Cricetulus griseus: one gene and its partners. The protein of the gene in region 1 binds, or shares a complex with, the protein of each later gene. Links are inferred from orthologs where the notes say so. Each region holds a gene or a part of one and is shown on either strand. Other genes may lie near its edges.

Evidence for each region.
Region 2: the proteins of Notch1 (region 1) and Dll4 are in contact, whole or in part, in a crystal structure (PDB 4XLW), measured with the Rattus norvegicus proteins. The link is inferred for Cricetulus griseus from reciprocal best matches to the Homo sapiens genes NOTCH1 and DLL4. Residues at the interface, in NP_001099191.1 of Rattus norvegicus: Glu415, Leu418, Ala420, Asn421, Pro422, Glu424, His425, Phe436, Pro447, Arg448, Glu450, Ile451, Asp452, Leu468, Asp469, Gln470, Ile471, Ile477; in XP_006234827.1 of Rattus norvegicus: His65, Thr76, Phe77, Asn109, Phe110, Thr111, Pro113, Tyr180, Ser186, Arg187, Leu188, Lys190, Arg192, His195, Phe196, Tyr199, Lys216, Tyr217, Asp219.
Region 3: the proteins of Notch1 (region 1) and Poglut1 are in contact, whole or in part, in a crystal structure (PDB 5UB5), measured with the Homo sapiens proteins. The link is inferred for Cricetulus griseus from reciprocal best matches to the Homo sapiens genes NOTCH1 and POGLUT1. Residues at the interface, in NP_060087.3 of Homo sapiens: Asn454, Glu455, Cys456, Val457, Asn459, Pro460, Cys461, Gln462, Asn463, Asp464, Ala465, Cys467, Gly472, Glu473, Phe474, Val485, His486; in NP_689518.1 of Homo sapiens: Met103, Phe104, Pro105, Ser106, Arg107, Asp133, Gly170, Pro171, Ala172, Val173, Trp174, Pro178, Thr179, Gly180, Thr214, Asn239, Gln240, Ala241, Val274.

Annotation. Positions count from the first base shown.
Region 1 is NC_048599.1:137,892,552-137,896,778, forward strand, and holds the start of Notch1 (neurogenic locus notch homolog protein 1), read right to left. Parts: upstream 2,915-4,227; 5' UTR 2,663-2,914; coding exon 2,602-2,662; intron 1,021-2,601; coding exon 942-1,020; intron 1-941. UniProt on the Homo sapiens protein: Functions as a receptor for membrane-bound ligands Jagged-1 (JAG1), Jagged-2 (JAG2) and Delta-1 (DLL1) to regulate cell-fate determination.
Region 2 is NC_048599.1:59,141,255-59,144,897, reverse strand, and holds part of Dll4 (delta-like protein 4), read left to right. Parts: coding exon 1-239; intron 240-1,429; coding exon 1,430-1,538; intron 1,539-3,643. UniProt on the Homo sapiens protein: Involved in the Notch signaling pathway as Notch ligand. Activates NOTCH1 and NOTCH4. Involved in angiogenesis; negatively regulates endothelial cell proliferation and migration and angiogenic sprouting. Essential for retinal progenitor proliferation.
Region 3 is NC_048597.1:51,600,847-51,604,489, reverse strand, and holds part of Poglut1 (protein O-glucosyltransferase 1), read right to left. Parts: intron 1,640-3,643; coding exon 1,518-1,639; intron 1-1,517. UniProt on the Homo sapiens protein: Dual specificity glycosyltransferase that catalyzes the transfer of glucose and xylose from UDP-glucose and UDP-xylose, respectively, to a serine residue found in the consensus sequence of C-X-S-X-P-C.

The DNA of each region.
Region 1 (4,227 bases):
TTGCTAGTCTCATCAGGGAGGAGCTCAAGTTGAAGGGCACTAGCCCTAGCCCTAGCCCTAGCTCCAGCCCCAGTGGAGACTTCTCCTGGCTGACTGGTCTTTGTGGGCAGCCAGGCAGGGATCCTTCCCAAAAGGATTTCCCAGCAAGGAACAGACCTTCCCACCCCCCCAAGTCACGCCCATTTCACAGCTGAGGACCTGAGGCTGAGGACCTCTGGCATAGAGTCGGGAGGTGGTGCTGCAGCTGCCAAGAGAGAAACCAGACTCCAGTGCTTACCCACACCCACCACCCAGGCAGCAGTGCCAACAAGCACCGTTCCAACTCTCCCAACCTCACCTTGAACCCAAGGAGAAAGGAGGGGTGGGTCTCATCTTAAAACAGACACTTCCCACCAGCTAGTGGTGGCATTCCCACTTGGAAGGCAGAGACAGGCAGATCTCTTGAGTCAAAGGTCTCTGCATAGTGAATGCCAGGGCTGCCAGAGTCACATAGTGAGACCCTGTCCCAAGAAAGCAAAAACTAGAAACAAACAAACAAAACAACAAAAAAGGGGCAACTTCCTGCTTATTGGTCTCCTGCCCAGAAGAGGGCTCCCAGGTGTCAGGGGGTGGGGCTCAAACTCTCAGTAAGTGCTCCAGACTGCCCATCAAAGACAACGGTTTCTCAAGCATTTTAAATAAGAATTAGGGTACCATGGATTCCCAGGAGCCTGAGGGGGCCCATGGAGGAGTGTGCCAACCTCCAGGGGCCAGAGTAGCTCCACACGAGGCATAATTGCTGGTGATTAAGTAATTGCCAGACTTTGTCCAATAAAAGTCAGCACGTGACTGCACTCAGCCTCTGGGCTGTCTTCTGAAGACAATGGCCCAGTGTTCTGTCCCCAGAAGGCAGGGGCTCTGCTCTGACAAAAGCAACAGGTCCCCTCGGGGGCGGTACTCACACACAGGCTTCGGTGCCGTTGGCCACTTCGCACCTCCCTCCATTCAGGCAGGTCCCACTTGGCTGGGAGCATCTCAAGCCTAGGGAAGGGTCAGAAGAGAGGTCAGTCTGGGTTCTGAGCAGCTGACTCCTTGTGGTCCTGATGGTGGATGAAGACTACTGCCTTGGTGCTTGTGTACTAGAGTTACTGGAAGTCGCCAGGCGGGGGTGGTGACAATGGGCAGCCCTTCGGGGATCAATGTTCTGCTCGCACTGTTGCAGTCAGAAATGGGTGGAAGAGGGATAATAAGCTGGGTAGGAGGCAGGTGTACATCCCCACTCACTAGAAGTGGACCGCAACAGAAAGAACTGAATGACTTGGGACATTCTAAACTTCTTACATACACAGCCAAAAGTGGGTGTGGATTAAGAAACCCAGCAAAGCCCCCGATCAGTCTCCCACCCTTGCCTCAGTTCAAACACAAGATACGAGGGGGCTGCAGGAGGGAGGGGGCGGCCACACTCAGCTCCCCCGATCGTGGGAAAAAGCGACAGCTGCGGAGCCCGCCACCCCGCCCTCCAACAAAGCGCCGGCCCGGGAATCAGAGCGGCCCATTGTCGCGCCAGGGCCGCCTCCTGGGGCAGCGGGGCCGCACCCGGAGACCTGCCCCGCCTCCTCCGACACCCAATACCTGTTCGCAGGCATCTCCAGGGGCAGCCCCCGCCGCACCCAGGGAGGGGGTCTTAGAGCCCGCACTTGGAAGGAATTCTACCCTCTTCTCAGGAAAGGGCTCTTAATCAAGCCCCTCCCACCCCCATCTTAAGGAGCTCCAGAAATTAAGCCCTGGTGTGAGGGCCGAGCTGGAGTGTCACATAAAACCCACTTTTAAGAGAAGGGCAGGCACTTCTCCCCTCCAATTACTGGGAGACGGGTGCAGTTGGTCACTACGAGACTCCTCAGGAGTCCCCCTTTCTGTGAATCCTGCAAGGAAATAGGCGGTCCCCCGGCCCCCCGGCCCCCCGGCCCCCCGGCCCTCCCCGCAGGTTCCAGTCTCTGCCTGAGCAGGAGTCTCAAACTTCCAAAGTGAGTGAGTCCCACCCCAACCCTAAGCAGCAAGCCGCCTGCCCATAGCCCCTCTTTGAAAGTTTGAGTACCGCTAGGGGACAGCGATCCCGAAACTGGGCACTGGGAGTCCAGGGCACATCGCCCCCACCTCGCGCTAAGCAAGGCGAACACAGAGCCCCAACATCCGCCCAAGCACAGACCAGAGGCGAAGAAGAAAGAAAATAATAGTCCCAAGAAGCAACAGGAAACCAAAACCGATTCGATTCAAATCGAAAAGTAGCAGGCGCAGGCAGCCTGTCCGCCCCCGCGGCGAGCCCCAGGCGCGGCTGCCCAAGTGCGAGCCAGGGTTGAGCCTCCCGGGGCCCCGAAGTCCCAAGCTCCACACCGAGCTTCCAACATTTTCGGGCGTTCTGGGTAAAGCGAATCCACCCGGAAGGGGGGCTGAGGAGAAGGATCTCCCTCACACGCGAGGACGCCAGGCCCCCAAGTCCCGTCCGCCGGCTCCTTCTCCCAACTTTGGTAGCTGGTGCCCTCACTCCCATCCACCCAGGGCGCGCGCAAGGCGCAGCCGAAGTTTCCGAAGGGCGCGCGAAGTTGCGGGCTCGCAGGCGCCTACCTCTTGCGGCGAGCGCGGGCAGCAGCGTTAGGCAGAGCAAGGGCGCCAGAAGCCGCGGCATGCCTGCTCGCCCGCTGCCCGCTGCCCGGGCGGCGGCCTCTTGCGGTGGCCGGCGGGGATCGGACGTTTACGCTCACCACCGGCGGTCCCGCGGGCGTCCACCTACTGCTGCCCTCTCCTTCCTGGCAGGTGGGCGGCGCTGGGCTCTCAGGGTCTCCCCAGCGCTACGAGGCACCCCGGGTCGTTCCTTCACTGCGCTCGCACCCGCGCCTAGCGCCCGCGCCCTGCGCCCCACGCCCCTGCGCTCCCTCCCGCGGCCGAGGCACTAGTGAGGCTCAGGGCGGCCGTGCGCTCCGCCCCCGTGGGGGCCCGCCCCTGCCCCGCCCATCCCACCGCGCTCCGCCCCCGGTTTTTGAGCACTCAAAGCCCCTTCGTTGGCCCTGTCCCTCCCAGCGCCCTGGTGGGCTCTGCGCCTTCTCGGGCTAGAGAGAGCGTCCCAAGCCAGGACCCTGTGGTTTGCAAGACAAGGAAACATGCAGGGGTGTAGAGAACAGGCACTTAGGGACTACTTCTTGTTCGAAAGTTTACAGAGACCAAAAGTTTGAGCTGGGGATGCGGAAGGATCAGGCTTTGTGTGTCGCCTCCCTCGGGACCTTTTGGCCAGGATTTGCATTTCAATAGCCGAAGAGATTTGGGCTGAGTAGGAAAGGCGAAGCTGCCACGAGAATCGGGTCCATCCTGGAGCTAGGTCTGGGCCCAGGGCTAGGAGCAGCTGAAGCCAAGTTTGGGGAACTCCCGGAGCAGGATTTTAGAAGTTGCTCCCTGACTACGTTGGGTGCATCCCTGGCCCTGGGGTCCCACTTTTGGGAGCCTTTGGTCTCGGCTTTAGGCATCTGGATGATTGAGGCCAGGCACCCCTAGCCGCGACTTCCGGAACGCTTGACCTTAAAGGATAATGTCTTCGCGCCTGCAGCCTCTACAGAACGGAGCTCGGGGCTCCCCAAGGGAACTCCCCAAAGGGCCAGTGCCTTTCTGAACAAATTGCGCTCTCGCTCCCCAGAAGGAGTCTAGACGCTCCATTGTCACTCTTTTCACTGGTTCCTGGCTCTGCCCATTTAAGGTGACCCGGGAAAGTACAGAATCCCAGTACAATAACTGCTAACACCAGCACAGCCTCTCTCACGTGCTTTTCTTTGACCAGTTATCTCTCCACCTTGGTGCTAGACTTGGACATCCTGTGACAAGCTGATTAGCTCTGGGTGTCCAAGATGCCTTCCTTGTCCCTGTGCAATCAAAGTTCAATGGAATCTGGAATGGACAGCACCTCTCCATCCCTAAACAGGATGGTGAGTGCAACACAGGATACAGCCCCAGCTTATATTATCCAAGGAGGCTCTCAGAGCAGGGGAATGCATAAAGGGGCCTTAAATGCTTGCTGGAACCTGGCAGGAGAATACTGAGACAGGAAAGTCAAAGGAATTTGGGAATTCAGAATTTGGAAGGCAGTCCTTGCCCAGGGATACAGAAGTGTGCTCATTTCTCCTGCAGCCCTACCCATTGCCCTTGACACACCTGTTTCTAGAGGGCACTCAAGAGGGCCAATGCAGACCCATTGTCCAGCCCCCT
Region 2 (3,643 bases), about 79 Mb from region 1:
AACAACTTGTCGGACTTCCAGAAGGACAACCTAATCCCTGCTGCCCAGCTCAAGAACACAAACCAGAAGAAGGAGTTAGAAGTGGACTGTGGCCTGGACAAGTCCAATTGTGGCAAACCGCAGAACCACACATTGGATTATAATCTGGCTCCAGGACCCCTCGGGCGGGGAGCCATGTCTGGGAAGTATCTTCACAGTGACAAGAGCTTAGGAGAGAAGGTGCCACTTCGGTTACACAGGTAAGCCATACTTGGAAGCCAGGGCGTGTCTATGGACCCTTACATAGTTTGACTGTGTCTCCCAGGCTGAGTGGGAGACTGTCATCAGGCCCTGACTGCTTTTAAACAGTAGGGATGTGGTACGAACAACAAGGCATCCCAGCTGCATTTCTGTAGGGAGTCAGGCACATACTTGTAGTCCTAATTACTTAGGCTGAGGCAGGATGATGGCAAGTTAGATGCCATCCTGGTTAACACCGCACAGCATGTCTCAAAAACAAAACGAAACAGCTCAGAAGGTAAATGTGCACACTACCAAGACTGAAGACCTGAGTTTGATCCCTAGGACCCATGTGTTAGAAGAGGAGAACAGATTTCTGAAAGCTGCCCTCTGACTTCCACAATGGTGCGGTGACAGGCACATATGCACACACATGTGTATACACACACACGTGTACACACACATGTGTACACACACACACACACAACGATTTAATTTTTTGTTTTGTTTTGTTTTTTTGTTTTTTGAAACAGGGTTTCTCTGTGACTTTGGAGGCTGTCCTGGACCTTGCTCTTGTAGACCAGGCTGGTGTCAAACTCACAGAGATCCACCTGCCTCTGCCTCCTGAGTGCTGGGATTAAAGGCATGCACTACCACTGCCCGGCCAATTTAATAATTTTTTAAGAATTCTTCTAGGGAATTTTTATTTTTAAAATGGGGTTTCTCTGTAGAAACCCCAGGGCTGTCCTGGAACTTACTCTGTAGACCAGGTTGGCCTTAAACTCAGAGATCCACTTGCCTCTGTCTCCCGAGTGCTGGGAATAAAGGTGTGTGCCACCACCGCCCAGATTCTTCTAGGGATCCATTACTAGAAGCCCTCTCGCTCATTCATTCATTCTTCACTCCCAAATACCAACTGTCTACAGGGTATCTCTTGTGACTTCCATCTTTCTACAGTATGGCTTCTCTCTAGTGGCAATATTCGCTTTTTCTAGTGGCCACATGACTTTTCTGGTTTGGTTGAGTCTGGTGGCTCTCTTAAGGGGCCTGTTCTGAAGGTCAGCATTGAGCATCCCCGGCCTACATCATTCTGAACCACTGCAGTACATACCCTTTAACTCTCTGGGATCTAGATTAGCACCTCATTGCATTTCCAGGCTCCCCTCCTCCCTCTTCCTCATTCTTACCTGCCTGTCTTGTGTTCCTTCAGTGAAAAGCCAGAGTGTCGAATATCAGCGATATGCTCCCCCAGGGACTCCATGTACCAGTCAGTGTGCTTGATATCAGAAGAGAGGAACGAATGTGTCATTGCCACAGAGGTGAGTTCTGGGCTGGCCTTCTCTGTCAGCATGTCCCCTCCTGCCTTGTGTGGATGGAAAAAAATGCCCTGCTTACCAGCAACCTCATGCCTGAAGGGGTGGGCTCTTAGGTCCCCTGCTGGCCTTATTGCCACAGAGGGTGTGAAACAAGAACTAGGTGGTATGCCTGACCTGGCAGCTGCACCAATGAAAGGGACAGAATTAAGGAGCCAGGGGAACCTCTGGTAGAGCTAGGAAGGACAGCCATGGTACTGGCTACCTTTCAGGAACTGTTTCCCACTTGCATTTGGGTGAAGACAGTTGATTGTGTCTACCTGTTCCTTGTCACTGGCTTCCTCCAATGTATTCCCACATTAGTGCAAACTCCCAGACACTTGTTGTCTTAGGGAAGAAGACTAAGGGGACTGCCCCTCCCTCAGTGACTTCTCCCAGAGAGGCCCAAAGCATTCCGGAGACAGTGCCTATCCCCAAGATGACCATTTCCCCATTTTGTTTGTGCTCCCCAGGTATAAGGCACGAGCCTACCCAGACACCCAGCTTCGGCCCAGCAGCTGGGTCTTCCTTCTGCATTGTTTACATTGCATCCTGGATGGGACGTCTTTAGTATGCACAGTGCTGCTCTGAGGAGGAGGAGGAGGAGGGAATGGCATGAACTGGACAGACTGTGAACCTGCCAAGAGTTGCACCACCTCTGCATGCCTTCAGGAGTCTGCCTGGCTTCAGATGGGCAGCCCTACCAACAAGGGAGAGAGCTGAGGAACCAGAGGACATCAGTTGAGCTGATACCTAAGGTGCCACTTGGACTTGCTCTGCCAACAGTGGCCATCATGGGGCTCTTGACTGTTCTTCAGAGAGAAGTGGTGGCCCTAGTAGGTCTTGGAGCTGCTGTAGCTCCCATGGGCATCTGTGTTTCCAAAGTGCCTTTGCCCAGGCTCCATCATGACAGCTGGGTCCAAATGAGGGAGGAGAGATGAGGCTTGCAAGGAATGGGCCTCCTGTAGGCAGGAAAGCTTTGGAGTTTGGCTTTTGTTAGGAGCTACCCTGTATGTGACGTGAGAGAAGTGGTTCCTGCCCCCATCCACAGCATGGGGGGCGCCAGCTAGCCTGGACCCTCTGGGCAAAAGTTGGTAGATCGCCTCTCACTGGTCCTGGGGCCTCTGGGCTTGTGTGAACAGATGGGCTTAGGGCCTGCCTCTTTTGCCAGCTAGGGTTTCAGGCCTAACTGGGGAGCTGAGGGCCATCATGTTAAAATTCCACTGAGGGAGATAGCGGGTGCTGCTGTGGCCTAGGCCCTTTCCTCCCTGTGCCCATTTCTGTGCCCTTGAGCCTGGGCTCTATCAGTGCCCACTGCTGCCCCAGACCACCCTTGAAGCCGATCTTCAGAAATCAATAATATGAGGTGTTTTTTTGTAGTTTATTTTGGAATCTAGTATTTTGATAATTTAAGAATCAGAAGCACTGACCTTTCTACATTTTATAACATTATTTTGTATATAATGTGTATTTATAATATGGAATAGATTGTACAGGAATTTATTACTTCTTGGGTCCTGTCTTTGTAATGGTGGAGTGGGAATCTTTTCCCTGCCTTCCCACCCCAAATAGTCGGAAGCCCCAGCTCTTGAATGCCCTCCTGGACCCCCTCGGGCCTTCGCACACTTGGGTTTGGCATTTTGTATGGAAGGCCTGTGTCTCAGTCCGATCTTTGGAGAGCCTAACCTCATCCATCTCATCCCCAGCCTAGGCCAACCTTCCAAGCCTAGTGACTTTGAGACTGGGTGCCATTATCCCACTTTATGCTCCCACCATTCCATGGGGCTATCTTTCCCCTGACTGGAATCTCTCTCTACTTTCCCCCAAGTCTGAGAAGAAGAATGGGGGCCTTGATCTTCTCCTACTGAGGAGGACTCTCTCTCATTACTTATTCAAAAGGACTCTTATTAGATCAGGAGCTAAGTCCTGTTCCATCTGGGCACTTCCTCCTACACTAGCACCTGCTGTTTTCCCAGTACTAGTGTGGAACTGACCTGAAATGGAGATGGGTAGGGGCTTTGCCCTGGGCTTTGTCTTTCTCGAAGCTGGACAGAGATGAGGGGATGAATGAG
Region 3 (3,643 bases), on another chromosome or scaffold:
CAAGTTCCAGGCCAGGATGGTATACTGAGTGAGATCCTGTGTTCAAAAAAGGAGTTAATTCTCTCTTGGGGAATATTTAAAATATGAACATTTTAGAGAAAATGGTGCTGGAGAGATGGCTCAGTGGTCAAGAGTACTTGGTGCTCTTAAAGAGAACCTGGGTTAGTTCCCAGTGCTCACATGGCAGCTCTTAGTTCCAGAGCATTTGATGTCCTCTTCTAACTAGGAAGCCCCTAGTGTGCATGTGATACATATGCAAACCACAAACAAATGAAATAAAAAATGATCTTAAAAAAACTTAAAGACTCTTAGAGCCCTTCCCTTGGAGGCACTGCTGACAATTTAGGATGAAGTCTTCTGACCTTTTTGACAGGGATTTTTAAATTTTGAGACAGGGGCTTAGGATTTTCAGGCTGTCCTCAAACTCACCACATAGTTGAGGTTAGCCTTGAACTTGTGATTCTACCTCCACTTCCCCAGGGCTGAGATTACAGGCATGAGCCACCAGGACCAGTTTATGCAGTGCTGGGTGTCAAACCCTGGGCTTCACACCTGCTAGGCAACTGTTCTACCAACTGAGCTCTATCCTTAGGCCCAACACGGATTATTATTCACACACAGAAACACACAGAACTGCTTTTGCTATGCAACATTCTCCTGACTTTAATAGTATGTGTGTACGCGTGTGCACGCATGTGCAGTCACCAGTGTGAGTATATATTGGAGCCAGAAGAAGACATGAGATGTTGGTCTTTATTTTAGTCCCTTGAGACAGGTCTTTCACTGACAGGTCTCTCACCATTTTTGCTAGGCTAGCTGGCCAGTAAGCTCCCAGGATCCATCTGTCTCTGACCCCAAGAACACTGGGGTTACAGGTGCATACAACTATTGGTATATGGATGTCTTTATTCAGATAAACACAAGCTGGAGAGAGTACCCTCAGGCAGCAGGCTAGGGAGCCCAGAAAAGAGACCATTCCCACGTCTGTCCTTTCCTTAAGAATTCCCCACGAGTCATCTTTAACCTCCCCTGACCATGCCCTCGCGGGCATAGCCAAGCACACCTGTAGCGGTTCCTAGGAGGTGGGGCTACAGTGTCTCCCTATAATTCCCCTTTTAGTCTAAAAGAGGATTAAAACTTAATAGTGTAAAACATCCAAAATTAACAATCATAAAGGTGAAATACAAGAAGATACAATAATCTGCTATTGCACATCCTAACTATGTCTATTCCGGCTAAGCCCTAAAGTCATGTGGAAAGGGTGTCCAACTTGAACATCTCCTTGTCTCCCTATATACAACCGTGCCTGAATTTTATATGGATGCTCCGTATCCAGGCTCACATCCTCACTGCACAGCTAGCACTCTTACCAACTGAGCCATCTCCCCAGCTCAGGCAGTGATCTTACATTCTTAACTATCTACTGCAGCTTACTTCAAAACAAAACAAAACAAAACAAAACAAAACAAAACAAAACTCACAGACAGGGAAAAACGAAACCGCTCCAAAGAACCTACCTTAGCAGATCTTCTCTGAAGAGGTCCCACCGTCCAAGACCCGTAGGATAAAGTGGCCACACGGCAGGGCCCCCTTCCCAAAATGTCCACGCAGGATACATGATATCATGGTACTCTGACGTCTTTAACAGAAACAGAAAAGCAATCTGAGTAAGTCTTGAAAGAGAATGAGAAGCAACTGGCTGCATTCATTATATAGAACTGGGACAAAAGCCTTCATGGTGCTAGAGAAATACTGTATTGGTCTGCAAGGTCTAGGTCCCAGGTCTGGGAATACAGCTCCATGACAGAGCACTTACTATCACAGATGAAGCTCAGAGTACAATACCCAGCAACACACACAAAAATCACCTCTTATGCCTAGACTGCAGACATTTAGGCAAGAATTACCAGGGGTAAAAAGTAACACATCCACTTGATTGGGGTGGTGCATACCTTTAATCCCAGCACTCAGGAGGCAAAGAAAGGCAGGCAGATCTCTGTGAGTTCAAGGCCAGCCTGGTCTACAAAGCAAGTTCCAGGACAGACGCCAAAGTTACACAGAGAAACTATGTCTAGAAAAAAAATAACAACAAAAAAAAGTAACAGTGGGGAGTTGGGGGAGGGGAGGAAGAGGAAGAAGGGATTGACATGTGAAGCAAGCTTTTTCTAATTTGAACTAAAAAAAAAAAAAAAAAAAAAAAAAAGTAACAGATCTGCTGGGTTGGGATGGTGCACACCTTTAATCCCAGCACTTGGTGAGTTCTAAGAGACACCCATGGCTACAGAGTTGTTTTTTTTTTTTTTGAAACCCCGTGGCAAAAAAAAAAAAAAAAAAAAAAAAAAAAGTAGACCCTTTGAATCCCAGAATTTATAATCATATTAAAGGTCAAGTGTTTCAGTTCCTGAAAATTCTGGAGGGTTTTTTTTTTAGGGAGGAGAGATAATACTCCTACTTATGAATTATCAGTTCAGTCAAAGCTCAACTGCTGTTACATCCTGGTGTTTCCCGGCTTTTCCAGTTCTGAGTTATTTCCCAGGGGTATTTTGAGAGTAAGAATCAGGAAATAGCGCTGATCACAGTAGTCTGAATTCTGACTCTTCCTCTTCAATACCGTGAGTGCTCCAATGTATGCCTCAATCTCCTGGTAGTGGGGGGAATGATATCCCTAACTCTACCTGCGGGTTTATTTTCAACACAAAATCACTCACAACAGTTTAAATGTACAGTGTCTGATGGCTATTTAATAAGCATGATCTAGTGTCACTTAACATTGTGGGTGTCCCCATTGAGCTCATGGTGGCTGTTCCATAAATCCCTGGCTGTTCATTGATCAGGAGGACCAGGGCAAAACAGGAGAATGCAGGCAGTCTAATCACACACATCTTGGTGGGAGGGTTGTCTGTTGGTGCTGCTGCTACTGTTGTTTTGAGAAAGGACCTTGATGTATAACTCTGGCTGGCCTAGAACTTACTCCATAGATCAGGTTGGCCTCAAATGCAGTGGTCCTTCCATTTCCTCCTCCTTAGTGCTGACTCTGGCTCACAAATTTTTTGGTAAAAGTTTTAAACCACCTGTTCCCTCCTCATGGTCACCTCTGTTACATGGCCACTTACAAAGCCTCCAATCTAAGTTTCTTCATTGCAACTCCATGTGTACGGTGCTGTCTGACTCCTCTCAAACACTTAGAAAATACCATGTGACTCATCAAGCATCTCCAACAAAGCGGCTATTCAATAGAAACCTCACAGTTAACCAAAGCTGACTGACTACAATTCCCCCTCTGGACACTTCAGTCAGTGACTGTGAAAATAGGAGGGAAGTGACGATGAAAACAAAGGCAGTAGTGACAGTCATATTGGGACCAGACACTTTTGAGAAATCAGCAAAAACCACTTACAACACAGGAAATAGGTCTAGAGAGAAAGTACTCTGTGATAAAGAAAAAAATGGGGCAGCTGAGAGATGGCTTAGAAGATAAAGTGTTTGTCTTGAGTTCCAGTCCCCAAAGCCACAAAAAGCTGGGCTAGTGGCACACAGTAGACCCCTGGGGCTTACTTCTCTGCCAGATAGCCTAATCAATAATCTCCAGGCCAATGAGAGATCCTGACTCAAAAACAAGATAGATAGATGGCTCCTGAGGAAT